Tamandua tetradactyla: one gene and its partners. The protein of the gene in region 3 purifies or fractionates together with the protein of the main gene of each other region. This does not show direct contact. Links are inferred from orthologs where the notes say so. Each region holds a gene or a part of one and is shown on either strand. Other genes may lie near its edges. The genes, in order: tumor necrosis factor receptor superfamily member 10B-like, BIRC2, CASP8 and NOL3.

What was found.
Region 1: the proteins of CASP8 (region 3) and tumor necrosis factor receptor superfamily member 10B-like purify together in Homo sapiens (affinity purification with western blotting; 14 studies listed by BioGRID and IntAct, counting the BioPlex papers as one, with this or other methods). This does not show direct contact. The link is inferred for Tamandua tetradactyla from reciprocal best matches to the Homo sapiens genes CASP8 and TNFRSF10B.
Region 2: the proteins of CASP8 (region 3) and BIRC2 purify together in Homo sapiens (affinity purification with western blotting; 4 studies listed by BioGRID and IntAct, with this or other methods). This does not show direct contact. The link is inferred for Tamandua tetradactyla from reciprocal best matches to the Homo sapiens genes CASP8 and BIRC2.
Region 4: the proteins of CASP8 (region 3) and NOL3 purify together in Homo sapiens (affinity purification with western blotting; 3 studies listed by BioGRID and IntAct, with this or other methods). This does not show direct contact. The link is inferred for Tamandua tetradactyla from reciprocal best matches to the Homo sapiens genes CASP8 and NOL3.

Annotation. Positions count from the first base shown.
Region 1 is NC_135329.1:23,968,149-23,975,546, forward strand, and holds the start of tumor necrosis factor receptor superfamily member 10B-like, read right to left. Parts: upstream 3,018-7,398; 5' UTR 2,585-3,017; coding exon 2,447-2,584; intron 1-2,446. UniProt on the Homo sapiens protein: Receptor for the cytotoxic ligand TNFSF10/TRAIL. The adapter molecule FADD recruits caspase-8 to the activated receptor.
Region 2 is NC_135334.1:40,475,050-40,482,727, reverse strand, and holds the start of BIRC2 (baculoviral IAP repeat-containing protein 2), read left to right. Parts: upstream 1-4,825; 5' UTR 4,826-4,854; exon of another isoform or gene 4,855-5,107; intron 5,108-6,058; 5' UTR 6,059-7,276; coding exon 7,277-7,678. Other genes in the region: uncharacterized protein LOC143644315, read right to left, coding at 4,475-4,825. UniProt on the Homo sapiens protein: Multi-functional protein which regulates not only caspases and apoptosis, but also modulates inflammatory signaling and immunity, mitogenic kinase signaling, and cell proliferation, as well as cell invasion and metastasis.
Region 3 is NC_135329.1:175,793,166-175,801,055, forward strand, and holds the start of CASP8 (caspase-8), read left to right. Parts: upstream 1-4,872; 5' UTR 4,873-4,943; exon of another isoform or gene 4,944-5,268; intron 5,269-7,859; exon of another isoform or gene 7,860-7,890. UniProt on the Homo sapiens protein: Thiol protease that plays a key role in programmed cell death by acting as a molecular switch for apoptosis, necroptosis and pyroptosis, and is required to prevent tissue damage during embryonic development and adulthood.
Region 4 is NC_135342.1:60,865,130-60,872,415, forward strand, and holds NOL3 (nucleolar protein 3), read left to right. Parts: upstream 1-4,700; 5' UTR 4,701-5,628; intron 5,629-5,740; 5' UTR 5,741-5,752; coding exon 5,753-6,047; intron 6,048-6,211; coding exon 6,212-6,537; intron 6,538-6,630; coding exon 6,631-6,681; 3' UTR 6,682-6,781; downstream 6,782-7,286. Other genes in the region: HSF4 (heat shock factor protein 4), read left to right, coding at 59-134, 318-382, 930-1,029, 1,257-1,390, 1,510-1,737, 2,237-2,342, 2,446-2,511, 2,655-2,724 and 1 more.

The DNA of each region.
Region 1 (7,398 bases), about 150 Mb from region 3:
ATCCAGTCCAGACTATGACAGTCGGGGATGATGGAACTGATGGTCTTAAACAGTCTTTATTAATCTTATCAATATGCTAAAGATGTGAAGGTAAACAAGAACATGACAAGAATAGAGATGGAAGATACTGAAAAGCCCCAAATGGAACTTCTTAGAGATTAAAAGTACACAGTATATGAAATGAAAAATAAAATGGATGGGATTAACAGCCAATCAGACACCACATAACACCAATGAACGTGAAGACAGAGCAACAGGGATTATTCAAAATGAAACCCAGAGAGAAAACAACTGAGAAAAAAATGAACAGATCTTTCAGTGAGCTCTGAGACAACATGCAGCATTTTAACCTAAGTGTAATTAAGACCCAGGAAGGCTAGAGGGGGCACACACATATCTGAGGAACTAATAGCCAAAAAATTTCCAACGCGGGAATAAACTCTAAATCTATAGGTCCAAGAAATTCATCAAACCCCAAGCAAAAGGAATCATACAGCATTAAATAAACGGATTTTTTTTTTACCCAAGTCAACCCTGACAGTGTGATTTGCCCTCCCACACAAGCTCACACATCCGCCACAGTGGCTCCCAGATCTCAACGTTGAACACATGAAGAAGCTATGGCTGCACCAGGGTCACAAAGTTGGAAAGGGGCAAAGTAGGGCCCAACTGGCTCCAGCCGCCAAGGTCAAGATCTTTTACAGCCTGTCGGAACTTCTAAAGTCAAGAAGTAAGCTCAGTGCTAGGCCTCATCTGATACAATCGTTTTTACAGCCCAAGGACTGTTATCTTCATGTTACAGGCGTGGCTGGGTGGCAGTCAAGCCTCAGCTGACAAAGTTTTCAAGTGCAGAGCTGAGATTCCAATCCTCTGTCACCCTCCCCTGCTAACAGTGTGATGTCTCCTAGCTGATTTGCTTCCAGTCTCAAAACACATATAGGTCCTTGAAAATCTCTAGTAGGATGGAAGAAACAAAAACACAACACTGGGATGCACCATTTTTTACCTCTCAGACTAGTAGAGAATGAAAATTCACTTGTATACACTTGATGACAGTGTACTGGAGAACAATTTGGCAACATCTAAACAAACTTCGAAGATAATTTAACCCGCATACTGAGCAATTATACTTCTAAAGACTTAAACCATTGACAGGAACACGTCAGTACATACAAGGATATCTGCAGTAATGCTGCTGGAATTTGCAAAAATGAAAAGAAAAAAAAGGATATCATCTAAACAGCTATCCATAGGAGAGAACGGTAAAATAAACTGTGCTTCACCCATACTTGCTTACACATGCAATAAAATACTATGCTTTAAAAAAAAAATAAAAAGAGGAAAAGAAATCTGAAGGTATGACATAGAAGAGCAGATGTAATTTTTTCTTGCTTCAGAATTAAGAAAAAATATATAATTGTGCCCGTAAATGCACAGAGAAAGGCAAAACTTATGGGTTGCTGGAGGGGGCTTTGGAATGCCAGAAGGCCTAGGTCTCACATTCCCAAATTCATCAAATTCAGATTTTTTATCTTTGCCACACAGGTTATCCTTCCAATCCAATCTGGAGACAAAATAGACTAAAACTATTCACAAGCTACAGGAAATCTGGGTCTTACCTAATCTAAACTGATAGCTTGAAAACAAAGTCTGTGGTTACATGTGAATACAGAAATGCTATTATTTTTCTAAATTGTTTTTATTTGCTAAATGAAAAAACAATTTCATGATTCTTGTAACCTTGTTTTGGCAATTATTTATTATTATTTTTTAAACTCGATCAATTTCAAATATGTAATTGGCCAGACCTTGGCCAAGTTAACCTAAAAAGATACTCGAAGTTTACACAATTCTTCCCCACGAGTTTCTCAGAACGCTCAGCACTGCATGGCTCAGTCAGATCAACAGCGTCACACCCTGGCTTCCAGAACATGCGATCGCTGGTCGCTTCAAAAGAGTCCCGCACAAGTTTATATCAAGAAATGATTGGAAGAAAGTCGGGCAACTGTTCAACTTCTGAGCGGCCATCTCAGGAAAAAAGAAAGGTGCGGAAGTCGGCGACGAGAAAGTTACTTTCGCTGGCATTAATTTCACCCATTTTGCAACGAGAGTACTCTTTAGAATTTAAAACATTTATCGAAAAAAGAAAGAAAGAAAGAAAAGAGAATCCTTCTGTCGCTCACTTGCAGGGCACCAGACCCCTTCTCGGTTGGCTCAGGACATGACAAACTTCATTGCTCTCGCCCGGTGGGTTTTGAAATCCGCCACTACAGTCGCTCAGCCCGGCGGCTCGGACCCAGTCCCGCCCTCCACTGCGCCGAAGGCCTCGCCCTGCCCGGGCATGCCCCGCCCGGGGCAGCGGGGCGAGACTCCCGCGGGCCGCCGTGCCACCACCGCCCCATTCCCCCACCCCGTGCCCGCCTTCCCGCTCTGGCGGCTAACTCACCGGGAAGACGGCCAGGAAGAGAAGGCTCAGGAGGCCCCAAGGCGAGGAGTCCCGGAGCCGAAGCCTGGCTCCCGATCCGACCCAGGTCCCGACTCGGGCCCCGGAGGCTTGGCGGGCGCTCTGGCCTCGCGGTGCCATGGCCTTCCGCGGCGCCCCTGGTCGCCGGCGGGTCGCGCGCGGGGTTTAAACTCCGGCGATGTCAATCCGTGTACTTCTCTCAGAGAAGAGCGGTAAGCCGTCTGTCCCAGATCGCGGCGGAGTCTATCTGCGGGAATCCCGCCGGATGCAGCGCTTTTTATAGATTGCGCAACGCCAGCGGGGTGACGAGTCAGGTCGCAATTCCAATCAACAGTTTGCCTTGCGGGCCAATCATGCTGGCACCCTCTCTGCGAGCGCTTCCGGGGGAGAAATATGTGGGGATTAAAGCCTAGCCCCGGGGGTGGGGCATCGGTGGAGGGATTCTCCCGCAGAATCTCCCCACCGCGCCGCGGGTGGGGAGGAGCATTCGGCAACTCGCAGGCACCGTAGTCTCGGCGCTGAACCCGAAGGCGCTCAGGCAGGTCCGGATCCAGCCGCATCTGGCTTTCCCGCGCGTAAACCCTGGAATACTGACCTCCCTCCCTCTGCCTCCCGTCCGTGGCCCCCTCACCTCTGTCCCTCCCCTCCATCCGCGGCCGGGCTTCACTGGATCTTGGTTTCACTGAATCCGGAGTCGCTCACCAAGTTGCTCTGTCCTACCGCGGGGTTTCCCGGAGGGGCCTCGACCTCAGCATTTCAACAGCCGGGTGCCAGGCTCCGAGCAAATGCTCCACGAACAGATGTGTGGACGAAACCGAGAACACACGGGATATGACCTGCAGGATCGGACCAAGATTTCTTTGTCTTGACCAACCTGTAGGACTTGGAGCTGTAGGGCTGCACAGTAAAACTAACAGTATTGCAGAAAAGAAAACAGACAACTTCAGATACTAATTTTACCAAGTTATCAAGCGTATTCCCCTTCCCTCTCACACCACATAGCCCACTGATATTTTTCCATTGTCCTTCCCTCGACCATAAAACTGATCACCACCACTCTGTCTTCCTGGGAGCTGAGTTCTATTCTCTCCCCCCTTCCATGGTAGCTATAAAGTCATCTTTGTCTGTTTAAAATTCTGTGGTGCAATTTTCCTTCGAAGGGTTTGGACTGGGTTCACAGAGGCTTCCACACCCTCTCCCCATCACCACTTTCTGCTTTCTAATAAGACCATGTCAGTCTTCTTTCTTTTGCCCTCAAGGTTTTATGCCAATTAAAATGCCATCCCTACCCTACTGCCTCAGCAGCCCCAGGAACCCAAGCCGGCCTTCTTCGGGATTTTCCTTCCCTGTTGGATTCTTTAAAATCTCCGAGAAGCTGAACCTCTGGGGACTATTCCTCACCTGAAACCGAAGGACTTAGAGAGGGATCCTTGGTCTTGAGGTCCTTCCAGCCGTCCCCGCGTACCCACCTCGGTAGCTAACCTGGGACGCGGTGGAGTCCTGTAAACTCAATGCCTCTTAAATCGAGGTCCTGCCTGCCGGGTGCTCACAGAGCGGTTTAAGGCTGGAGATTAGGTGGGAGGGGAAGGCAATCCCAAGGGCGCCTGCAGCTCCAGGCTTCGTCGCAGTTTTACGGGTCGGGGGCCCACGGACTCTACTTGGCTGGCTCTACTAGGCCAGCGCAGCGGAGAGGGCTTCGCCCGCCAACCCCCAGTCCTGGGTCTGACTCACCGACTGTCTGACCGCGCACAACGCCACACGCCTCGCCTCTCAGGTTTCAGCACAGGGGTGGCGTGAGGATGCGCCCCGCTGTGGAGCAGGGAGGGGCGCTGAGCGCTGGGAACCACTCCATCTGTAGGACACCGCTTTTTAGATCTTTGTACTTAATAACACACACACACACACACAAACATACAATTTCCGGGCTCCCCAAAATGTGGTTCAACGAAAAATTCGACGTGAAACACTACGGAAAAGAAGAAGAGTTTTTCAGCTCAACGAAATACGGGGCCAGAATTGTCTCGAGTCTCCGCCAGGACCAATGGACCCCGGGCGCGCCCCCGGCTCCCGGGAGGGGCGCGGCCGGCAAGAAGGCGCTGCGCGGGCCGGGGTTAGAGGGCAGCTCGGGCAGACGACGACGCGGTGGCGGAGGAACACTTTCCTGGTGATTAAGTGGACCCGCGGGAGGGGAATTAGTATCACCCTAGCACGCTTGACCCTCGAGGGCGGAGTTAGGGATGCTCTGCGGGGCGCCTCCACCTGCGCCAGGTAGAGTCGGTGCCCAGCGAGTAGCACGCGCAGTGCATTGTCCGGGGACCCTGCCCTGGGCTATGCGCTGCGGTCCGGAGGAGCTCGCGTGCCCGCCACGGTGAAGAAGACGCACCGTCCGCAACCCCGACGTCTTTCTCGGAGCCCGGGCTCTGGGCTAGAGACTTCGCGCGCATCTTTACAGTCTCCTGGTGACGAACGGGCGCGTGTCAATTTTAAACATAATCAAATTTACCTAGAACTATGAAATTTGGGGGTCCTCATGATTCCCTTATCCGTGCTCCCGAGATAACCTGTTAAACTCTTTCGGGATGTTCCCTCAGAATTCCCTGTATGCATGCAATATGTTTCAGAAAAGAATAGATTTGCACTCTTTGACCTTCTGAACATTGGAGCTTTTTACACTTAAGTTATACCTTGATTATCTTTCCTTTTACGTCCTTGGAAATGGATTCCCCGCTTCTTTTTCTTTCTTTCTTTTCTTTTTTTCCAAATTTTTTTAAATGACAAACCAAAACAACGTACAAACATTCTATACATGGTGTACAATCAATGACTCACAATAGCATCACATAGTTGTATATTCATCACCAGGATCATTTTTTAGAATATTTGCATCACTCTAGAAAAAGAAAAAAGAAAAAAAAAAAAACCTCATACATCACTCCTCCTACTCACTGACCACTAGTATTTCCACCTACCCAATTTATTTTAACCTTTGTTCCCTCTATTTTTTCCTATACTCCTTACCACTCCCTTTCATTGATCACTAGTATTTCAATCTACTCAATTTATTTTAACATTTCCCCCCATTATTCATTTATTTTTAAGACATATTCTTTACTCATCTGGCCATACCATAGATAAAAGGACCATCAGACACAAGGTTTTCACAATCACACAGTCACTTGTGAAAGCTATATCTTGATACCATCATCTTCAAGAAACATGGCCACTGGAACAGAGTTCTACAGTAAACTAAAAAGGGGATAGCTATATAATGCATAAGAATAACCTGCAGGATAACCTCTCAACTCTGTTTGAGACCTCTCAGCCACTGACAAACTTGTCTCATTTCTCTCTTCCCCCTTTCGGTTGAGAAGGTTTTCTCAATTCCTTGATGCTGAGTCCCAGCTCATTCTAGGATTTCTGTCACACGTTGCCAGGGAGGTCCACACCCCTGGATCCCCCTCTTTTTTAACACTTGCACAGAATTTCCTCGGAGCTGGGGGTGAGCTGAGAATTACTGAGAGGCTGGTGTGAAGACTGTATGAGGGGAATTTGGTGGAGAGCTGGTCATTTGGTCGGGGGACTAAAGTTCTCCAATTCCTGGCTCTGTTCCTGCAGGCAGAATGCCTCACGGACCCTTTTCCTGTCCCTGAAAAGTGCCCAGGATGGCCTGCTGCCTGGGAAGGGGCAGGTAAGGATGGACTGGCAGCAGAGTGGCGAGAGGGGCTTCCAGCCCATTGTTCAGCCAGGAGAGATGGCATTCCTAGACTGTTTCACAATCTCAGAATAGATGTAATTTTACAATTCTCTTATGATTCCAGGTACTTCTCCTATCCTGAAGATTATCTTTCCCAACTCAGAATTGTGCAGAAGCCAATACAGGAAGTAGAGAATCTGAATTGAAAACCACACTACCCTAAAGAAACCTTGAATTGCAGAAAAAAAAAGAAATGGTTCAATTTTAGTTTACAAAATGTAAATACTTAGAGAGTAAGATAGGCAGGTTGTCACTTTTTGCCCAGGCATTTAAAAATAAGTATTTGTTAATTAATGACCAACTTACCATGACTTAAAAAGATGATTTTATGAGCAATGAATCATGTTTTCTATCGGGAAGTCTACAGTTTTAGGACTTTAATTACCAGTACATATGAATGGTCTGATAAATTTACTTTTTTTTCCCCTGCAATTTATAAAATTAAGGTTCTCTCTGATAGAATGTTTGAAGTATGGTAAACAGACATCTCTTTCTTCTGTCCTCCCTCCCCTGTTTCCAGGTTCAAAGACATATGTCTAAGTCACCTTTGATTATTCCATATCCATTGTCAGAGCAATGCAGGTGCCAAATACTGTCCATCCCACACCACAGAGCTTCTTTTATTTCCCTTTACCTTTCATTTCATCTGCCAGTATCTGGGCGAGGCCTCCAATATCTGTGGCTGCTGCCACCATTTGCATATTGTTGTCCCTGGTCCCTCCACTCCACTGAACAGTACTCTGGGACACAATCAGCTCCAGGAGAAGGAACTTGCTGTATGACACTCACAGAAAAATGAGAGTTCTGCCATTGGGTGAGTCCATGAGGCTGGGCTTTGAATCTGTCGTGGTTTGAAGCTGTATGTACCCCAGAAAAACATGTTCTTTATTCTAGTCCATTCCTAGTTTATAAACCCATTATAAGTAGGATCTTCTGATGAGGCTGCTTCAGTTAAGATGTGACCCACATTATACAGGATGAGACTCAATCCTCCTACTGGACTCCTTTATAAATAGGTTGAATACAGAGAGACAGAGAAAACCACGGAAGCAAGAAGCTGAAATCAACAAAACTCGGAAGAGAAGGGGAATCAGCAGACGCTGCTGTGTGCCTTGCCATGTGGCAAAGGAGGTAAGAATTGCTGGCAGCCAGTCATCCGGAAGGAAGCACCGCCTTGCTG
Region 2 (7,678 bases), on a different chromosome or scaffold from region 3:
AGGTAGTGATAAATATGAACTATGACCATGTGACTAGCTAAAGAAATGAGGACTGTGATTGTATGAATATTTCCTTGTTTTATTATGAATATGTTTGTATTTGTACATAAATATCTTGTTTTCCTCTTATCATATGACAGAAGTTGTATTGTTCATCTTATAGTATTTAAGTCACAGGATATGAAGTTTAGAGTGAATGTTACCTAATGACTTGTACCCTATTTTGGGGAGATGTAGTGCACTTTCGGTTGTTCGCAGGACAGTTGAATATTGTTAGATGAAACATATGTCTGTTCTTGTGTTCATTTGGAAATTAACCTTGTTTCAAAGTGATGTGTTAGCTGCCAAGTTGACAAGGGGAGGAATGTGATGATTAGGTTCTGGTGTCAACTTGGCTAAGTGATGGTATACAGTTGTCCGGTCAGACAAACACTGGCCTGACCATAGCTAAAAGGATATTTCATGGCTGGTTGATAAACCAGAAGGCTAGTATATTAAATCATCAGTCAGTTGACTATATCTGTGGTGATTACATCTATGACCAACTAAGGCAAGTTTCCCATAAGGAGATAATGCAATCAGTTGGGAGGTTTTAAGGAAGAGGAGGGACTCTTTCACTGCTTGTTCAGCCAGCAAGCCCCTTCTGTGGGCTTTGTCCAGACCTTCATTGGAGCAGCCAGCGTCACAGCCCACCCTACAGATTTTGGACTCTTCCATTCCCATGGTTGTGTGAGACACCTTCATAAATCTCATATTTACAGATTTCTCCTGTTGGTTGTCTCTAGAGAACCCTAACACACAGACCAAAAGCTTGAACTTGATAACTATATTTAAGGTGGTTATATAGGCCAACATCTTTGTTCTTAGGAAATGTGCATGGAAGTATTACGTACAACCTACCTTCAAATGTTTAGAAAACTAATAGACATAGATAGAAAGATAAACATAGATCAAGTAGGTAGATAGATAGATAAAGACACAGAGTGATAGACAGAAAAATGTTAAAACTAGTGGATCTGGGTATATAGGTGGTAGGTATGTTGGAGTTTCTGTATGGGTTTTGTGTTATTTTTTCAACTACCTTGCAACTTAGAAATTATTTGGAAATAAAAACTTTAAAAGAATAAAATATACAGTTCACTGAAGGAAATAATTAACATGAAAAGACAAGCCACAGACTTGAAGAAGATATTTACAATATATATAACCAACAAAAGATTTGGATAGAGAATTTTTCTAAAGAACTTCTACAAATGAATATGACAAAAAAAAAAAAAGAAAATGAAATGGGCAAAGGTGGTGAAAAGCAATTTGCAGAACAAAACTAAATGACTAATAAACTTATTTAAGAATGTTCAATCTCACTAGGTATCAGAAACATGCAAATGGAAACAAAATACAAACATTTCAAATATCACATTGGCAAAAATTAAGTCACAATACTAAAAGTGACAAGGATGAAGAATAGTGGCACTACTGATAGGAGAGTAACCACTCCAGAGAGTAATTTGTTAAGATCTAGAAGACTTGAAGAGATGCACGCCATTAGACATGGCAATTCCACATTTAGGTATTGAGAGAAACTCTTCCATATGTGCAAAAGGAAACACAAGAATGATTATTGCAGCATTATGACAAAATATTAGAACAATCTGAATGTCCATTCATTCAGGAGAGTAAGTTGTAACATGCTACTGAAAGATATATGAATGTCTAAAAAAAAAAAACAAATGTTGAACGAATCAGTCTCTTGTTACTATTGAGTTTTTAGGCCTGGGTCTGCTGAATTCAAATGCAGCCTATCAACTTAATGCTTTTCATCACTTTTCCTCAGTTTTGTCTTATTTCTCTAAATATTAACATATGCATCAGACAAACATTACTATGTACTGTTTACTCATGCTTCTTAAGAAAGTTAAACATAAAACCACCATATGATATGACAATTCCACTTCTAGGTGTCTATACCCAAAAGAACTAAAAGTAGGGAATCTATATATTGGAGAGATATTTGTACACCAATGTTCACAGCAGTGTTATTCACAATAGCCAAAAGATGGGAGCAACCTGAATGTCCAGAAGCAGATGAATGGATAAACACAATGTGAAATTATGGTCCTTAAATACCATTTCCCATTAAAGGAACCAGGGCACCTTGGAAAGCTTATCATGGGATGGGATAAAATGTACAAGATGAGCATGGAGAGCAAAGACTACTACTGCTGTATGGAAAGGACTTAAAAGCCAGTATAACTTCTGGCCCATGAACTCCAAAAAAAAAAAAAAAATGAATAAGCTCCTACTAGCATAAGATAAAACAATTTGAAAATAATGATGATAGCTGCAATGAATTACAACTCACCAAATACATTTACATCTCTGAGTTCATGAGATAGCTGTTCACCAGGAATTTTTTTTAATAGTGTAAGGTCATGATTTAATATTATATTCCATTAGAGTAATCATTCAATTCAACATTATTTAGTGACTTGTTGATCCTTTTCTCACTAATATGAACACTATTGTCATCTATCCAATTCCCACATAAATGTGCACATTTTTCTAGCTCTCTGACCTGTACCTTTGTCTATTTGTCCATTTTTGTGCTAATCTAAGATGGTCTTAATTATTATGCTTTATTATATAACTTGGTATCTGGTAGGGCAAGTTTCTTCAACTTCATTCTTCTTCAAAATTGTCTTGGATCCTATACATAAGTTTCTCTACGTAAATGCAATAAATATTATGAATGCAAAAGCAGCAGATTTATACAGCCTATTTTTAAAAATCACTAGCTATTGTACACTGGAAATACGAAAAAAATTAACTGATAAATGGATAAACAGCTAGTAATACTAGATCACAATGTCATACAAGATTAAAAGTTGTATTTATTACACCTGAATGATATTACATACTTTTTTTTAAGGAAAAATATTTATGGCTTTTGAGCTTTGAGATTTAAAATTTCCCCTAAACTGGGCGGGCTGCGGTGGCTCAGCGGGCAAAGTGCTTGCCTGCTATGCCGGAGGACCTCGGTTCGATTCCCGGCCCCAGCCCATGTAACAAAAACGGAGAAACAGAATACAATAAAACAAGAAAATGTTTAAAAATGTTTCCCTTTCTTCCTTCCTTCCTTCCTTCTATCCTTCCTTCCTTCTCTCTGTCTTTCCTTAAAAAAAAAAAAAAAAAAAAAATTTCCCCTAAACTGAGAATATTCATATTTTACTTTTTTTGGTCAGGACAAGAACTAAAAAAAGAGAAATAGACTTGAATTCACAATGAAAAATTCTTGCTATGTATACTTTCTAGATTACATATTTCCCCACAGATAAGAGGAATGTTTCTGAACATCCCAGAAATAATGACTTAGAGCAAATACCCAAATATTAGCAAAAACCATGCGCATTTTGAAAACATTTGGTCACTGAGAGTCATAGCATTTCTTTTTTCCACATCCATGAATGGTTACAAATTCTTTCTTTTTATTGTTAACATTGGGACAGAGACATGTTCTATGAATGGCAGGCAGAAATGACATGTGCAGGAAATGGGAAATGGTTCAGGGTCTTGGAATTCCCCTGCTTACATAATTAAGAGACTTAGTTGTAAGTTTTTGAAATACTTGTCCTTGGAGTTCCCCTGAAAGAAGAAAGCATCTGAATTAATTGACAAACGTCTTGAGATTATAAATTTTTTAAAAATTGGGTCATTGCAATATGACAAATATTTACTGTCTGCCACTGTGTTCCTGGAATTATTAGGGAGCAAGTGAAAAAATGTCCATGCCTAGTAAGACCAAGATTTTGCATTTCGTCTATCACTTAACTATTTACACATTTTATAAAGGGGTTCCGCACCGGTTCGCATACACCATACACACACGTACACACATATACACATGTACATATATGTGTATGCATAAATACCATTTTATTCAAACATTGAGAGAAATTTGGGAGTTAAGATTGGTCTAAAATACTGTTCGCTGCTAGCGATGGGCATCTGAAGGGCACTTTCTCTTTAACGCATATGTCTCCAGAACAGAAAGCCAAAGTTTTAAAAACAAAAGTTACACTCGTCGATTATAAACACATCAAGTGTTCAAAATTAACCTTTTGATGCAGTTCAATTTTCCAACACTTGGCTGGTTTCAATTTACACGGTTACCGGACGAAAAAAAAGACACTAGACTCCATTTCCAAATACAGTCATCTACGAGTGGAGGCGTCAGACTAAGGCAATTTCGCCACTGGCTGGATCATAACTCCTGAGGTGACATGGAAGAAGAGGCACAAAATCACCGGCGCAATGGCGTTGGCGCAGGGTTTCCCGAGACTCAAACGCAACGGAACACGAAAAAGTGCCTCGTCCTCCTCAGAAGGTTGTTAGGGACAGGGAGAGGGAAGCGTTAAAAGTGGCCAAGCCACGAGATGAAAAAGCAAAACACCTAATTAATGTGGATAGTCCCACCTCACGCCGTGGGCTGAGCGCGCAGCTCCAGGTGGACTACCACGCCGGCTTCGCTGTCTCTCTGCGTCTCTCCCTGAAGCTCGGCTAGTCTGAAAACTTCCAGCGCCGCCTGCTCTTCGGCGTCAGGCTTTTTGCAGCAGACCCCTCCGCGGTCGGGAGGCGGTTGACGCGAGCCGGGCGCGCTGACGTCACCGTGCGTTGGCGTAAGCCCTCCAGGGCCCGGGGGGTGGGGGGCGGTTTTAGGAGCGCAGGACGCGAGCCCTGCCTGGTCTGGCTTGGCCTGGCTGCTATCTGCGCTGCAGCTGCCAGAGCCTGAGGAGGCCTCTAAGCAGCCTTGGCGCCGCCGCAGCATCGCTTCCGTCTAGTTGCGCCGGCATCACGGTGAGTGCAACTCTTTGACGGCCCTGGCGGCGCGGGTTCGCGGGAGGCGGCTTGGGGCATTCCGGCTAGCAGGGAGCCACTTCTCTGAAGTGCGGAGGTGCGAGGAAGGCCGAGGCCTGGGGGCTCTTAGCTGAGGGTTGCGGGTCGCAGTGAGCTCTGCTTTCTGCCTTTGACACGGTTTTCATTTAATTCGGAAGCCCTAGCTTCAAGGCATGCAATCGAAAGTGGTTTAAAAAAATTGAGTTGTTTTCACGCAGACTCTGGCCACCGCCCATTTTTTCAGCCCTTGGTGTTTGGCCAAGTTGTTTTCTCTCAGAGGTTTTGCAAGGTTTTAAACTTAGCTTTCGGTATTCCTTAAATTTAAAATATTTAAACGAAGACGGCCCTGTGGTGGCGAGATCTCACATTTCAGAGTTAACAGTTGCTCTCTGCCCTTCTGTAGACAATTGTTTATTGTGAAAAATAACCCCGGAAAATTAATGACTAAATCCCATAGTTTCTCTGTTTTTCCCTTCTGGTCTGCACCCCACACAACCCCCACTCCTGACTGTCTATAGTTTGCATAAAATGGTAAAATCATCAATACAGTGCTCGTCGATAGAAATCTATAATTTAATATGCGATCAGATCTAGTGTAATAAAAGCATTCATGTTAGTGGTCACAATTCCCGAGGCCATTGTTTCACAGGCCATTGTGCTGTTTTGTTTTCTGTGGTTGTGGCTTTGTAATTATAGGAGTTGTAGAGTTTAAGTTTTATATAATGAGCTCCTGATGCATTTTACTCTTACTAGACTAGGCAATTTGCCTAGTCCTGGAGAGACTTGACATTAAAAAATAACATAACTGTCTAATAACTTCTGTGTTCTTGCTGATGGGTATAGTAAAGTCTTTTTTCAACATTATCTGTTTTTTTCACCAACAAACTGTCAGAGATATCCTTAAACTACTAAAAAGTTTTTACCAGAAAAGGTGAGGAGACTTCCCTTTGTGGAAATGTCCGTCTGCGTCAAAGTTGTACATTTTTCAAAGATGTAAGTGCTAATGAGAGGATATTGCATTTATTTAACTTATGAGCTTTTCCAGTTACAACATTTTGGTGACAAATAGCTGGATTCAAGATGTATTGTCTAAAGTATAAATTCTGTGATTCTCTTTTCAATAAAACTAAAATTTTCTAAAATAGCTTTTGTATTTTCTTTTCAGATTTTACAACCTTGAAGAATCTACTTCCCTCAACCCCGCCCCCGGCAATAATAAATCCCATTATGGAAACTCAGACACTATAAAAAGGGATATAGTTTGAGTTTTGTGGAGTATAATTTTGTGTATGAATTATGTTTAAAAACAGAAAGGCTAGTCTGTTGGTAATACAATATTTCTGTTAGCATTTGTCATGATACCGGAAAAGACAAACTGTGACTTTTGATGAATTGATTGGTTATTTACAAAATGAATGATAGAGATGCATGATTCTTAAAGGAAAGATAGATAATTTAGTTTTTACAAAGACAGGAAATGTGAGAAGTTTCTGCTGTTGAAATTTTATGGTTAATTTTTTTTGGCGATATACCTTCAGATAATTTTAGTTGGTAAAGTATAATAAAGTGGTATGCAAAGTTAGTAAGAAATAATAATGATGCTATAGGAAGAGGAATCAAGTATAGAAATATGGAATAATTAACAGTTTGTGAGCTCTACGCAAAATTTATTTCATTTGATATGATACACCATTATAAGCTTAGGTTCAACAAAGCTTGTGAGTGTTGGCTTCCCTAAAAGTTATTAACTGAAGCTTACAAAACCCACTTACGTATTATGGGTTATGCTGTGAATATAAGCTTTGTGAAATTAGTCTTTAGATAATATGGCTATATGAAGACTTCAATTATTTTTGTTTACTAGAATAGAACAAGGTTTTTTTTTAGTACCTTACTTAAGTGCTTATAGGAAAAGAAGCCTGATGCATATCATTTTCCCCTGTCTTTTAGCATAATCAGTAATTGGCCTGATATCCAGGCATTGTAGCTTGTAACCAAAAGTAAATTAAAGGCACAGTTTAAGTGGCTTGGAATTTGGTAACATAAGCCTCTTTTAAAAATCAGGGGGGTTTTAACATATTTTCAGAGGTACATCAATTCTGTCAGGCTATTAAGTTAGTATTACACTAAATTATAGGTAAATAGCACTTGGGTGACCTAAAAAAGTTAACATAATCCCTCAAAATATTAAGGTTGCATCTTGGTACAACCTAGGAGAGATAGTCATTTTGAGTGTGTAATCAGGTGTAAATTCAGTAAAGAAGGTTTAGTGAATTCTAGATAAGTAAGCTATAATTTGTTTCCTTTTTGTGATAAAAATCTAGTCTGAAGAGAAAAATTCATGTGAAGGCTTTTAGCCATCAAAAAGTAAAAGCACCTACTCATGCACAAAACTACCTCCCAAAGACTTGACCCAGGTCCCTCTCATCAAAAATTTGTGAGTAAAATGGAAGATAGCACAATCTTGACAAATTGGACAAATGACAACAAACAAAAAATGAAATACGACTTTTCATGTGAACTCTACCGAATGTCTACATATTCAACTTTCCCCACCGGTGTTCCTATTTCAGAAAGGAGCCTTGCTCGTGCTGGTTTTTATTACACTGGTGTGAATGACAAGGTCAAATGCTTCTGTTGTGGCCTGATGCTGGATAACTGGAAACAAGGAGACAGTGCTATTGAAAAGCATAAACAGCTGTATCCTAGCTGTAGCTTTATTCAGAATCTAGTTTCAGTTACTAGTCTGGAATCCAACTTTAAGAATACTTCTCCAGTGAGAAAC
Region 3 (7,890 bases):
CAAGTTTCTTTGGTTGCTTAAAAATATATGCTTTACTAAAAGACTGAATTTATGTTAATACATATTTCCTGGGTTGATTTTTATACAATCAGAATATAAAGTTTCATTGTAATTTTGTCCTTAGCATTAGCACAGTGCCTAGTATATAGTTGGTGCTCAACAAATATTTGTGGAATGAAAAAGTGATTCAAACTATTCTTGGGTTTTTACTAGACATATCATAGGGATTTAATCTGGAAGAAATAACAAGACTTTAGCATTTAATATCTGACCCAGTTTGAATTTTGCATATGGGACTGAGATGAGGAATCCCATATGTAAGAGAAGATCTTCCTGAATCTTCTGTTCCACAATGGCCATGCCATGTTGAGATTGCGTGGTGTTGTTTCATCAGGGATCAGATGAGTTCGCACCGCAAATGTTTGAAGACTGTGACTCCTGATTTTTAGTAGAAGAATAACAAGTGTCCATATGTGCTAGTTTGGGTGATAATATTAAGAATACCCTCAAAATTTATGGTTTCAAAATGAACCATTATGCCATGAACAAACAAAAATGCCAGGGGCTTGTAAACCTAAATAAAACACAATGACTACCTGCTCACAGGTGTTTAAACACTTTGGCCTTCAAGATAGGAACAAGATGGTCATAAAAATCTGTCTTCACTTTAAACATTTTTAATTAAAACTTTTTATTACCAGAAGGAATATACATTAACAGAAGAATATTAGAAAATAAAGATAGGAAGAACTAAGTTTTGGCTATGTCTACTAAATTTATAATATACTTATTTTACAAGTCAAGAATATGTTTAGATGTAAGATTTGTGGAATAGATTACAAAATATAGGTAGTGTGTAAATATTAAAATAAAGATAATTTAAGAAGGCAAAACACAGACAAAAATTAACTGTGATTTCATGGTCCCGAGACGATCATTGTTAACATTTTGCTGTTTAATATTTTCTTCCAGAAAGTCTTCTATGACTGCTTCTATTTGGTGTGAAAGGCCTGGTGAAGGTGGGACATTAGGAAGGAACAAAAGACACCTACCAGACAGACCCAAAATGGGGGCAGCTCCAGGGAGAGGTGGTCTGCGAGGAGCACTGGGTCCAGGCATCTCCTTTTGGACCCAACTTCCCTGTAAGGAGATGTCCACGTACCTGAGGAAAAGAATTCCAAGTCGTGATACTGTCACGGTTTCCTCTCACCAAATGAGACCATGAGGATAATGGGAATGAACTGGAAAAACGAGTCAAGGACTAAACAGAGAAATTCGTGGTTGACCTGGAGAATGAGTGGCACCACGTGTCTGAGAACCTATAAGAATCCTTACAGGGACTTGTAGGAAAGTTAGTGAGAGATGGAGGCCACGACATTGCCCTGAAGGGGAAATAAGAAATGGATATTAAAACTCAAAGAGAGGGGTGCACAGTGGTAGAATGTTCGCCTTCCATGTGGGAGACCTGGGTTCGATTCCCCGACCATGCACCCCCCCAAAACAAACAAATAAACAAACAAACAAACCTGAGGAGAGGTCTAGACACCACAAGAGAGGTAGCTCAGAGCCTGGGAATATGGCTGGAGAGTGGAAAGGTGCAGGGAAGGCTTCTAGAAAACCAAGGTGATAGACTAAGAGGTGCAAAAAAAAAAAAAAGAACTAGTGTTTATTCATTGGGCTGAACTTCCCTGGCCACTAACAGAAAGTGCCTTTATTTTTCTCGCATCACCACTTTCCATAATGATTTCACAAATCTTCTGTGATAGCCCCGACTAGACATCAGGCAGATCACAGCTTTCAGCCGTCCTTTGTTTATAAGAAGGATGCTATTTAGATAATTATACCTCATCTTCAGTCATTAACAATTTGCTTCAGGCATTTTAAAACATCTGTCTTACCTACAAGTCAAACTCCTCATCCCTAGTTGAGGGATGACTCCCAGCCAGGGGTCCTGCAGTCAAGGAGATTTTTTTCTCTTTGTCTTTTCATCCTGCATTCACTCTGGCTCCCTCAGAGCTGGGCCATGAGAAGGAGAGGTAAAGACCAAAAGACTTTCTGCTCAGCTTTGGATCTCTTTGGCACTTCCAAGGGGCAACTCAAGCACACTTAACGTGTTGCTGCCAACAGAATTTGAGAGTCAAAACAGAATTCTAACCCATCACACCTGAGCTCCTAGGCTTTCGGATGAACCCACAGTTTTAGGGCTCTGGCAGGCAGCTCTCCTGGGCAAGGTCCCATCAAGATGATTTGTGCCAGATCTGGATGATTCTCAGCAAGTCAAGTCACGCATGAGGTGACTCATTCAGAAACCAGAAGTGGAATCTCAGTTTTGTAAGCTACAAAGGAATGTTAATTTTATAACCTAACTTCTTTGATATTTATTTATTTTAGGACATTTTATTTTCATTTCATGAAACTATAAACATGTCCTAGGCACTAATCAATGTTTACTTAGTAATGCATGAACTGTTAGAGACATCTTTAAGACTTTTTTTTGAATATCTATTATAATATCTATTTGGCTTAGGCTTCTGAATAGCTTTCAGTGGAGAAAAAGTGATTCTTGGTGCTTGTCCTTAGGGTTTGAGGTACCCCATTTCTTAGGTATGGGAATGTAGTGAAGCAAAAACAGGGAGGATATTCACCATCTCCATATTGAGACCATCAAGAAAATACTGGAAAAGCTACAACGGTAACATGATTATTGTGATCATAACCTAACAATGATCTCAGTTTCCTCCTTTCTTGATCAGTGGTATGGGCTCTTGTAGGAAAGTAGAGATGTGAGTGTTGGCTATCAAAAGTTGCAGAGTTTATATTTGAGATCAGTGATTGTAAACTTCTTTATATCCCTACGATTGTCTAATCATTTCAACAAACAAAGCCCTTAAAATTATAGCTGATATAAACTTTGTTTTATACATGTTTGAGACACTCCCTCCAAACAGTTTTTTTTCTTTTCTTCTGCATGGGCAGGTACCAGGAATTGAGCCCGGGTCTCCGGCATGACAGGTGAGAACTCTGCCTCCTGAGCTACTGTGGCCTGCTCCCTCCAATTAGTTTTATACAAGCAAGTTCAGACACTACAGAGCCAGGATGTTTGCTAACGGGAGTGTCTTTGGAGACGGCCAGCCAGTTCAGATACCACAGAGGTAGGATGCTTGCCAGTGGATTTTTCTGTAGCTAGCTTCAATTGTTTCTTTTCTGGGAGACTTGCCATTGCTATAGCTGCGGAAATGTCCTGGGCACTCAAGGGATCGTGGGTATGTCAAACTGGAATTAATTCATTGGATTCCCAGTTGACTCAGTCCTCCTTTGGATAATATGGGAGCTCAAGCAAGTCAAGATGGTTAGTGTAGTCATTAGCCATTCTGTTTTTGCACTCTTTTCCCTTCCCTCACCACTCTTTGGAGGAATAGTCTAGGGCAGGAGGCAGGGCCAATGGCAGGAGGCCAGAGTGTGAAACAGGGGAAAGCACCCGCCTGGCCCTTAGTTTGGCTATATACAGCTTAAGAAAGCAAGACGAATATTGGGGTTTTTGTTTCATTGTCAGCATTTATTTTATTTTATTATTTTTTAAAACTTAAAAATTAAATAGAATAATGGTTACTAAAGACATATTCTTTATACCTAAAAATAAAATAAATATAGACTATGGGTAGATTTAAATAATTCATATAGTACTGTGGGTGGATCTTCACTTGGATACTATGCTACATGAAAAGTTTAAACTCGGCCATTTTGAATGAAGCTTCCCAGTTGGGCCTTCTGAATAGTCAACTATAAGGCAGAAGTTAAGAATCTGAAGTAGCAACAGTTCGGTAGTGTCGGAGTTTTCAGATGTTTCCAATTCTATGCACACATCTACTTGGATGACATTATTCTAAAGCATTTTGTACAGATCTTTCATTACATGTTTATTTCCTCGTTATTGTTAGAAATGGTCTGTTTTTTCCTAGGCAGTGGCAGTCAACTTCCCCCTCAGTTGTCTGTTTTCCACTGTTGTCTGGTATTCTTCATGGCTTATCTCCACAGGAGGAAAAATTTTTAACAGACCCAAAAGTTAAGATTTTATTCACAAATCTTCTTTGTTGTACAGAAAGTAAAAGTGCTATTACACACTCAGTGTAACCAGTGTAACTGGTTAGGAATCCCCTGCGCAGCTAGCCATGCTACAGCAAAGGCTCACATGAAAACCTCACAACGCTTACAATTTTATTGGGGTGAGACCCCCTGAGCTTGGCAGTAGATTTCTAAGATGGACTGAGGAAGGGGGAATGCCGTAGGAACTATTCTTAGGCTCTTTGAGTGGACGAGTTTTCTAGGGTTTGTATCACAGCTACCTTTAAAAAAAAAAAAAAAAAACAGCTACCGAATCCAAAAGAGTGGTCCAACCAGTACTGAACAGTTCTTTTTTTGCAGGTTATCTGAAGTCTTAATAGTATTCTCCTTCATCGTCTGTTTCTCTCTACGTCTTTTCACCTTTCCCGCTTCTTCCTCTCTTTGTCTTCATCTTCATCCTCACCCCCTTCGCCTTCATCGACTTCTCCATCGTGTCCAGAATCTCCCTCCTCCCCTCCGCTGACTTCATCTTCATCTTCTCCCCCTTCTCCATCTTCATCCTCTCCATCGTCAAACTCTTCGTCCTCGGCCACACCGTCCACCTGGGCATCCGAGTCGGGGCTCCGGGGCCTCCGGTCGCGGCCGTCGGGGTGGGTCAGCGAGCCGGGCCTGAGGCTCCCGCGCAGCCCTTGGGGCCGGGGACCTCCAGCCACAGGCCCCGGCGCCCCAGACAGCCCCGCTGGGTCAAAGCTCCCAAGGTGCTGACAGCTTCTGACCATTTCCGCTTACGTCCAGACGTGTGAGATTCGGAAGTTTTTCCGCTACCATGTGCAGATCTCCCAAGATTCTCCTGTCACTAAGCTCAAGTTTTTTCAGCTGAGGTAGTTTGAGAAAATTTGAAACTGAAGTCAAGGTTATATTTGCCACGCTGAGGCACTCTAAATTCACAAATTCAGCTGCGAAACCCTCAATTTTCCATCGTTTGATTTGCAATTGTCCAGGACAAGTTCTCGAACCGCCGCCGTGTCCGGTTCCTCGGCTCCAGGTGGATCCTCCTCTTCTGGTCCTTGGCTCCTCTTCCCGGCTCGTCAAACTTAACTTTCCGCCGCGGGGGCGAGGGCAGAGCGGCCGGGCCGGCCCGACGAGGCGCGGCGAGGCGAGGCGAGGCGAGGCGAGGCGCAGGGAGGCTGCAGGCGGCGGCCGGGTCTCGGGCCGAGGGGGGAGAGGCGGAGGGGCGGGGGCGGAGGGAGAGGTGGCCGGGTCAGCCCGGCGAGGCGAGGTGCAGGGAGGCTGCAGGCGGCGGCGCGGTCCCGGGCCCAGGGGGGAGAAGCAGCGGCCGGCGCGGCGAGGCGCAGGGGAAGCTGCTGGCGGCGGAGCCCCCGGGTGCCCGGGACCCGTGGGAGCCGAGAGAAACCCAGGAAGGAAAAGGGGCTGGAGCGCGCGCGGCTGGCACTCCCCACAGTAGAAAACTCATTCACTCCGAATAACAGCTTCTCTTAAAGATCTAATGTTGATGCTCAAGGAAGTACCCGGGACTTAATAGGGGCCCTTTAAGAAAGCTTAACTTTCCTGTGGGGGAAGGGCCTTATAATGCATTCAAAACAAACCAAGGAAAACTAGCACTGGTGATCTTTGCAGTATCTCTGGTGATAATGTTTCGGATGTATCTTTTAAAATGAAATCTCATATCTGAGATTTCTATGTAAGTCTCCTTTGCACTGTCCCCAGATGCTTCCAGCAGCTCGGCCAGTTCTGCCAGGCTCTGCCTGCTGGGAGGCAGTAGTGCACAGGGCTCAACAGGTGCCCTGTGGTGGGAAGCTCCTAGGGTCAGGTCCTTGCCCTGCCTCTCAACAGCTGAGTGACTTTGAACTTCCTTTCCTCATCTGTGCAATATCCCGAATAATTAGCACCCACCTTCTAGCTAAAATAACAATAGTAGTGGATAATTATTGAGAACTCTGCAAGTCCAGGCACTATTCTAATTGCTCAAACTGCATATCTCCCATAGCTCCGCTCATGTGGGAGCTCCAGTGCTCCGCGTTTTAAAATCCTCTACATTAAATTCTGAGATCAATAAGGTTGAGAGTCAGGTTCATGTTTGGCAGACTTCATTCTGTCACTCACTAGCTGAATGAGCTTGGCCAAGGGTTTCAACCTCTCTAAACCTCAGTTTCTTCAGCTATAAAATGGAAATAAAAATATTATGCACCTCTGAGAATTGTTTGGCAGTTGCAAAAGAACTATTTAGGTATGTCTGGCACACAAACAGTTTGATCAATGTTAGCTCCTGTCATTATTAAACCAACTCCTTTTTCTCAGGTGACAGAGAACCAGTAATTTCTGACCTTTTTTCCTACATTACTCTATCTTTACTTAGATTTGTTGCTCCTCCGTCCACATGGTTCTTTTCAAATCCTGTGTTGGGGTGGGTGGGACTGGGGGTAGGGGAGTTTGTTACAGCAGAAAAATCCTTGTCTTTAGCCCAGTAGGACTGAGTTGAATCCAGGTGACTATTTGAGCCTCAGTTTTCCCATCCATAACATGGGAGAGCAATCCTCAGTATTGCTGTAACAATTAGAGATAATTCATGTAAAGGGTGCAACATATATATAGTTATTGTAAGAATATCGGTGTTCTGGTTAAAAATATAAAACATGAAAACAGAAAAGGCAGAAACCCCTTTAAAAATTGAAACAGGAAACAGGCAGAGAGTGGGAGAGTGGAGGTTGAAAAAAGCAGAGGAGGGCCTGGGGTTCAGGGCCCTGGGGGACCCACCTCAGTATTACCATCATTCCCAGCTCTGCTGGTCACTGTTGATCCCAAGGGCCCTGGGGATGGGAACTAAAGGGTTGTTGCCCCTAAGGGTTGGACCAGACCTTCCCTTTATTGTGTAAACTCTCTCCACTTTTCAGCCTGAGGCTGCTTTGATTTAAGATAAAACTGAAGGGGTTGGAGGGGCCTAGTCTGTGGCTTCGGTGCTGAGATTTGGATCAGAGCACAAAGGGAAAAATCCTCCCCTAACCCCTTTCAAGAGAGAAGGGCATTTTACTTGCCACGGGCTCAAGCCTGTCTTTGAAAATTACGGGGGTTATTAATACTAAAAGTTGCCAGTGTCATGCTTTTCAATAGAGCAACTTCCAGCTTCCTGGCTGTTTTGTTGTTGTTGTTTGCAAATTAATAATTGTCTGCCATCTCCCTCTTCTGAATAGTTCGATTGAACATTGAACATTTTGCTTCATGGTGAGTTGTTTCTTTCTGCGGTTTCAAAATAAAGTTTACGCTGTTGTTTTTTCTGTTGAGGAATTCTCTCCCATGCTTGGTGATGATCAGATGCTGTCTTTCTGCTGGAAGATAATGATTTTACAGGTCTCCCTTCGTTTGTCTCCTCTGATTTTTTTTTTTTTTGCCTTTCTTTTTTTTGTTTTTATTTAAGAAAACAAACAATACACTTAGAACCACCAAAAATGGATATCTTAGCGTAACCATAGGCACATTTAAATAAAGTATCCATAAAATCATTGTAAAACCTGTTTGTGCAGGAAGTTTCATAAAGCAATTTAAAATTAAAGCCACAAAGAGCAGATAATTTGTAAAACTTTCTACATGATATTTTGAGAACATTCACAGTTTTGACATTTGAGCAAATGGTATCTAAGTAAGTGTTTAATATGGAGAATTTAAGAACTCTGCTGTCTGAATTTGTAGATTTTTTCCTGATTCTTTTTTAAGCTGTGTTGAGTTCTCTGCCGAGTTCTCCTTGGAAGACTGCCTAACATATAACCAGGAAGTGCGTCCTCTGAGGAAGGCGGGGGTGAGTGGAATGAGCGA
Region 4 (7,286 bases), on a different chromosome or scaffold from region 3:
GGGGGCAAGACTGGATGAGACCTCAGATGCCTCAGCACCCTCCCACTCCCACCTCCAGGCAGAACGAGATCTTGTGGCGTGAGGTGGTGACGCTGCGGCAGAGCCACGGGCAGCAGCACCGGATTATTGGAAAGGTGTTGCTCCTCTCCTTACCTGCTTCTCTATCCGACTCCCAGCCCCCGCCCACCCCACTTAGCCCAGTCCCCCAGCCCCAAGTCCCAAGTTAAATCCCCTCCTGGTGCCACCTGCTGGGAGTGTGCCTCACTAGGCTGGGGGCAGGGTCCAGTGTATGCATTAACCCTTTGCTTCCTCTTCAGCTGATTCAGTGCCTCTTGGGGCCACTTCAGGCTGGGCCCAACAGCACAGGAGTTAAGAGAAAGCTGTGAGTGAGAAAGCCAGAGATGATTACACCCGTTCCCCCACTTCTAGAATCCTCCATCCCCATCCCACCCCACCCCCACCAGGCTCTCTGCAGGGCAGAGAATGGTATTTCTCCTCCAGAAATACCACCAAGAATTCCCTTTTCTCCCTCTACTCTACAGGCTGCCTGCCCAGTGGCCATCTCCCCCAGGGCTACTTATCCCTCAGGACTTTTCCCTCTTTCCCCAACCTTACCACCAGATACTACCACTCCCAGATTCCCCTGCTCCAGGTTCTTTTCTTCAGATCCCTACCCAGAAGTCCACACCTCTCCTCCCCCAAGCATCCCTCAGGAGGTCTGGGCTGAAACCATGCTCTCTCACTCCCTTCCCCCCATCTCTGGGGGTGAGGGGAGCCCCTTCCATCTCCAGCATGTGACTGATGCCCTGGCAACAAGCATCAACTCTGCTGACTTGGCTGATGGGGCCTAAGGGAGGGAGGTGGGGGCTAAGGGGCGTGGGGGCTAAGCCTGCCCCTCCCCCTGCCTATGTCTCCACCACCCTGCACAGGTCTCTGATGCTAGATGAAGGGAGCTCATGCCCTCCGCCTGCCAAGTTCAGCTGCCCCCTACCCAGCACTCTCCTACAGGATCCCTACTTTATCCAGTCAGTAGGTTTCGCTTTTCTCCCCTCCCCAAGGGCACAGCTGGGCTAATGGAGAGGCTGCTCATATGGAGAGACCACACCCCTCCCCCAACCCAGACTCCTCTGCATGGACTGAGTCTCCCCTTCCAGACCTCCCCCCTCCCCCTAAACCTGGTCCTGGTGGGTGCTGGTCAGATTCTGGCCCTCCCTGTGGCCTGAGATCAAGGGCTGGGCCTGGCCTTCTACTTACAGCCACCCCCAGGGACCACTTCGGGACTCAGCAGACCCCACAGAGCGAGTGGACCCATCATCTCTGACATCCTGGAAGATTCCCCATCCCCATCTCCTGAAGGGGCTGGGCTTTCTCCCTCTAGTGGCAGCAGGAGGTAAGAGAGCAAAGGTTGTTCCCTTGGGCTCTCTGGGAGAGGGACTGGCAGCTGGAATGGCTGTGGGAGAAGAGGGGAGGGCAGTGCCAGGGTCTGGTTGAAGGTTTTCTCTGGTGCAGGGAGAAGGGCCTGGCACTGCTCAAAGAAGAGCCGGCCAGCCCAGGGGGGGAAGGCGAGGCCGGGCTGGCCCTGGCCCCAAACGAGTGTGACTTCTGCGTGACAGCCCCCCCACCGCTGCCTGTGGCTGTGGTCCAGGCCATCCTGGAAGGGAAAGGGAGCTTCAGCCCCAAGGGGTCCAGGAATGTCCAGCAGCCTGAACCAAGGGGCCTCAGGGAGGTCCCTGACAGGTGAGTAGAGAGCCCATTCTTAAATGTGAGCCTTGTGGGCCACTTTTGCAGATTGACCAGCACTCACCAGCCCACAAAACTTCCCAGCTTTCCCTGCCTCTTGGTGGCTGAGTGGGAAGCTTGGGTACTTTGAACCTATCATCCTGATATGATTTCTCAGAGTCTGCTTTCCAGGATCAGAGTCCCCTAGGAAATAGAAGGCTTATTAAAGTACAGATTTTCTGTCTCCTGTTCAGGTTAATCAACACCTCTGTTGTAGGGCTCAAAAATCTGTATTTTTAGTGAACTCACCAGGTGACTATAAAGTACATAATAGTTTAAGTGCTACTGATATGGCACTTGCATAGGAAGGGACACTTCCTAGGACCCTAGTCTTACAACCCAAAACTTGTGGGAGTTCCTCTCCTGGCATTTTTTAGATGTTGGGGGATGTAAACCCTAATATATCCCGGTTTCTCAGGGTGGGCCCAGCAGGCCAACAGAAGTTCTTTGTGCACAGGGGGCCTCTGGGCCTGGAGAGTGGGGACCCAAGCCCTGAGGGTCTGCTGTCTCCAATGCTGCTTGGGGGTCCCCCTGAAAGTCTGGACCCTGCAGGGCCCCTGGATGTGAGTACCCCTCTGGCTTGCGGGCAAGAACTTAGGGCCTAGGAGGGTCCGAGTGTCTCTGTGCAGCCTGTAGAGGATACCATTAACTCTGAGCTCCCCTCAGGTGCTGGGCCCCAGCCTCCCTGGGCGAGAGTGGACCCTGATGGACTTGGATATGGAGCTGTCCCTGGTAAGATGCAGGAGGGGCTGGAGATCTGTGGCTCATGGTCATTTTATCTGAGCCAAAGCCATGGCTGGAGAGGATTGCTGCCAGCACCCAGCACTCCTCCTTAGCTCCCCTTCCCAGATGCTACTTGAGGCTGTTCCGTGCAGATGCAGCCCTTGATTCCAGAAAGAAGTGAGGCCGACCTCGCAGTCAAGGGGATAAATTCTCTGGGTTCAGGTAATGGTTGGGGTAACTGGGAGTGGGGTGAGGAGGCCATGACTGGCCTGACCTACCATGATGGGATGAGGATGTGTTTTGGAGGGAAATCCCTTAGTTCAGGCAGAGACTTCTCCCCTCTAGCTGACCACTTCCGAGAATGGGAAGGTTGAGAATGGATGTTTCATCCTAAGTGAACAGAAGGTAGAGTAGGCGGGTCTATCTTTCCCGGAAGAAAGGAGGGGGAGACGTTTCTCCATCCTAAGTATGGCCCCACTCCTTCTAGGAAAGGACCCCGCACTTGGGGCCCCGCTCCTGCTGGACGTCCAGGCGGCTTTGGGAGGCCCAGCTCTTGGCCTTTCTGGGGCTCTGACCATTTACAGCACCCCTGAGAGCCCGGCCTCTTACGTGGGCCCGGGGACCAGTCCCTCCCCTGAGACCCTTTTCACTGTGACGCCAGAGAAGTAGAGGGGCTGGTCCGCGGCAGCTTGCCCTTTAAGGCTTCCTCGCGCCCCCTGGCGGAGGCTGAGCGAAGCCCATCCGCTCAGCGGCTTCTATCCATTCCCCGCGCCGAGCCCTGCACATAAACAGCATTTGTTTTTCTGTTTCCTGTCTCTTTTCTCTACCGACCAGGGAGCACAGAGATCGTGGGTGGTGGGCAATTTTGCATTCGCAGACGCCTCCAGGCTTTAATGGGAAACCACTGTCGAGAGTAGAAGTGCTTGGGGTTCCCGCCCCTAGCCCTTGTAGGCCCGGATCTCCTGCCGGATCCAGGGCTGTCGCACCGCCTCTGCGACCCCCGGGAAGTGAAGGCCTCTGGGTCAGACTCAGTTCTGCAGTGCACCCGCTGTGTAGGACCCTGGGTAAATCGATCCGCTTCTCTGAGCCTCATCTGTGACTGGCAGGGAGGAGGGGGCGTCGAGAGGATGGGTGTAAAGCGCCCAGGTATTGCCAGGCCCGGTGGGCGCGGGCTGAACTTCCTTCTCCCCAGCCCCACATTGACTCATCTGTTGGCATGCACGGGGCAGGGAGGGAAAACCAACTACGCGAATATCCTCAGTCAGCACGCGGGCTCTGAGGGACCGGCTCCCCCAGCCCGGGGAAGAACGCCCCCACTCCCCGCCCCCTCCACCCCCGGGATTCCAGGCAGCCCTAGCCGCCCCACCCCCGCCGCAGCTGCTGCCCCCACTCGGCCCAGCCCTTTCTGCACTGTCATCTGCCCGGCCGAGGCTCGATCCGTGAGTGAGGCCGCCCGCCCGGAGCAAACGGGACCGGGGGAGGGAAGGGAAACCTTGGGCAGAATCGGCGTCCGTCACCACCAGCCGCGCTCGGAGGTCTGTGTGCGCCCCGCCCCTCCGCGAGAGCCTGAAGTGGCGCGGAGGTAAGGGCATCCTTGCGGTCGCGAAAGTGCAGAGGCTCCCGCAGTTTCCCACGACCTGGCAGAGAGGTTAGAGTGGGGGCCGTCGGTCGGGGGCTGGCTGTCTGCTTCTAGGGCCGCCTGACCTCCAGGATCTGACCAATGGTCCTTTAAGGACTGGCTCCGCAGCCAATTGGCAGCGAGGTAACCTCGTTGTTTCCTTACGAGCAGTGAGAGCCTCAGGAGTTCCTAGATCAGCCGGGGTCTCTGCTTCCCAAATAGGACACATTATCTCACTGGAATAATAGGATACATTAGCATGTAAACAATCTAGGGAGGAGTGAGGGAGAAAAGGTGCAATCTGCACCCCTTCCTCTATGCCTATCCTGGGTGGGTGCTGCCTCCTCTTTCTTCCCCACATACCCCACCCCGCCCCCACCCTGTGATGGGGGTGAAAGGGAGCAGCCTTCTTTGAAAACTTTCAGCTGAAGAGGACAGAGGGTCCTGTCATATCTCAGTTCAGTGATGAGGGCATATGCTGTTCGCTGGTGCATGCAGGAAAAGGAACCATTCTTCCTTTGGGAGACTCGGGCATTGGGGCAGACAGCAGAACATTAGAGTCTTAGAGGGTGGGGCCATGGAATGGAGGGAGGAGAAGGACAAGCTTAGGTACAGCATCTGCAAAGGATCAGAAGCACCAGGGCCTTCGGGAGTTCTCAGAGCTGGGAGAGATGGAGGGAAATGTGGACAGACCTGACTGACCAGGGTATGGGAAGTAGTCAGAGCAGCCAGGCCAGATAATCTGGATTCTCTCTGATAGGCAGCGGGGCTGTGAGAGACAGGAGTGGTTAGGGCTAACATCCTGCTAGGTGGGTGGGGGGTGTGGGGGGGAATGGAAGGGAGCTGCATTACAGACTATATTATAGTTCAGACTGGAGCAAATCAGAGTCTAGCTCTGCTGCTTGGTCTCTCTGAGCTTGTCTCATCTGTAAAATGGGGACAATAAATCCTACTCCAGAGGGCTGTCAAAATCACTGTGCTGTGGGGGTGGTGGAATGGGAGTGAGAGGTGCCTAAAGGGACTGGTATAGAAGATAAGGTGACAATGAGGATCCCTGATGGGAGCTGATGGAAACTCAGACTGGAGCAGCAGTACTTGGATGTAACGGACAGGACATGAAGGAAGAGTGAAGGGCAGGAGGGTAATCCTGGTTTCTGTTTGATGACCTGGAGGAGAGATTGACACTTTGATATGCCAGGAGGGGTCTGAGACACGGAGCTGGAGAGGAAGAACTGGCAGACAGGACAGGGGCTAGGACCAAACCCTGACTCCTAGACAAGGCCTCTTAGAGCCTGGTAAGTAGGTGGAGGAAAGACCCCCAAGGTAGATACCACCCTGGGAGAGCTTAGGGGAGAAGAGGAGAGGCGGACTATCGCCGACGTTTAGGGGACCGGAACAGGAGCCTGAGGAGGAGACAGGGAAGAAGGAGTCCCCGAAGCAGGAGGACGACGAGTCCCGCGCGATGGCCTCCAGGTCCTGTGCTGCAGCGCTGTCTGGTCGGAGTAGAGGTGAACTTCAGCCCCAGCAGGGGTGTTCACTGCGGCCCTGGGAGAGAAGACGGGGGCGGGGAAGTCCCTGCCCCACTAAGACCGCCCCACTACTCCTTTTTCCCTCCGCCAGGCTGTCGGGACAATGGGCAACACGCAGGAACGGCCGTCTGAGACGATCGACCGCGAGCGGAAACGCCTGGTAGAGACGCTGCAGGCGGACTCCGGGCTGCTGCTGGACGCGCTGCTGTCGCGGGGCGTGCTCAGCCCGCCCGAGTACGAGGCATTGGACGCGCTGCCTGATGCTGAACGCAGGATGCGCCGCCTGCTGCTGGTGGTGCAGGGAAAGGGCGAGGCGGCCTGCCTGGAGCTCCTGCGCTGTGCGCAACGAACCGCGCAGGCGCCTGACCCCGCCTGGGACTGGCAGCACGTGGGCCCCGGTGAGCGCCTTGGGCAGAGCAGGGGCGGGGTGGGGCCTGGAGAGCCGAGCAAAAGCCCAATTGGAGTTGGTGGGAGCCACTTGCCAGAGAGGAGGGACGAGTGCGGGCGGAGGAAAGCAGGGACGGGTAAATTGAAACTGAAGACAGCGCCCCCTCTCTTCCAGGCTACCGGGAACGCAGCTACGACCCTCGGTGCCCGGGCCACTGGACGCCTGAGGCACACGACTCGGGACCTGCTTGGCCCGGGCTGCCTAGAGCTTCAGACAGCGACGATGTGGGGGGTCCTGAGGGCCGCGAGGAGGTACAATCCGGGATCCCCGAGAACCCCGAGCTAGAGCAGGAAGCCGAAGCCCCCGAAGAGGCTGAGCCGGAGCTGGAACCCCAAGTGGATCCGGAACCCGAGATGGAGGCAGAACCAGAGCCTGAACTGGAGCCAGAGCCTGAACTGGAGCCGGAGCCGAATTACGAGGAGGCGGAGGAGTCGGAAGGTGTGAGGAAGGCTGCCCCAACCCAGAGTGGCCTGGGGGGCAGCAGGCGGGTCCCCATCTCCTTAACTTTCCTCCCTTTATTTTATGGCCTCTAGATTCCTGAAAATCGGAGCACTGACTGGCCCCTCTCCGCTCAAGCTGGATAGGATCTCAGACCCAGCCTGGGCTGCACAGATGCCACAGAGGTTTTGTCTGGCGCAGATTGGAAATGAATAAACCCCAGACGGTCGGCTGGGCTGGGCTCTCCGCGATTCTGGCTCTTTCCCCAGGAATTGGGAGTGGGGTGGGTGGGTGGGTGGGTGGGTAAGCCCATGCCTTGAGTTCCAGTGACCTGGGCACTCCATGTCCCTCCAGGCCCAGCCACCCAGTCTTCAGTTTTATTTCTGCCCTCAGTAGCTCAAGCTACACCCCTGGAGACCCCAGGCATGCACTGGGACAAAAGACTGACCCCTGGTTGCCGCTCCACAGCCCTTTTACCCTCCTGAGCCATTTAGGGGCCTGTGTAGGCAGGCTCCAGCCTCCCTTCATGGAAGCCTCTGGGCCTGGTGCAGAGAGGAAAGGAAGGGGGACTTCTCTCCATTTAAGGAGGGTCTAGAGCTTAGAGCCTTGGGAAGTGCGAGTATTAGACAGGATTATTAGACCTTGGGTAGACAGAGCCCAAACACTTCATTGTAATTGCTGTTTTAATCGTCTGACTTCCACTGCACTGGGAGCTCAGAGAGGGTTTTGGCCGGAACTGGCCCATTGAAAA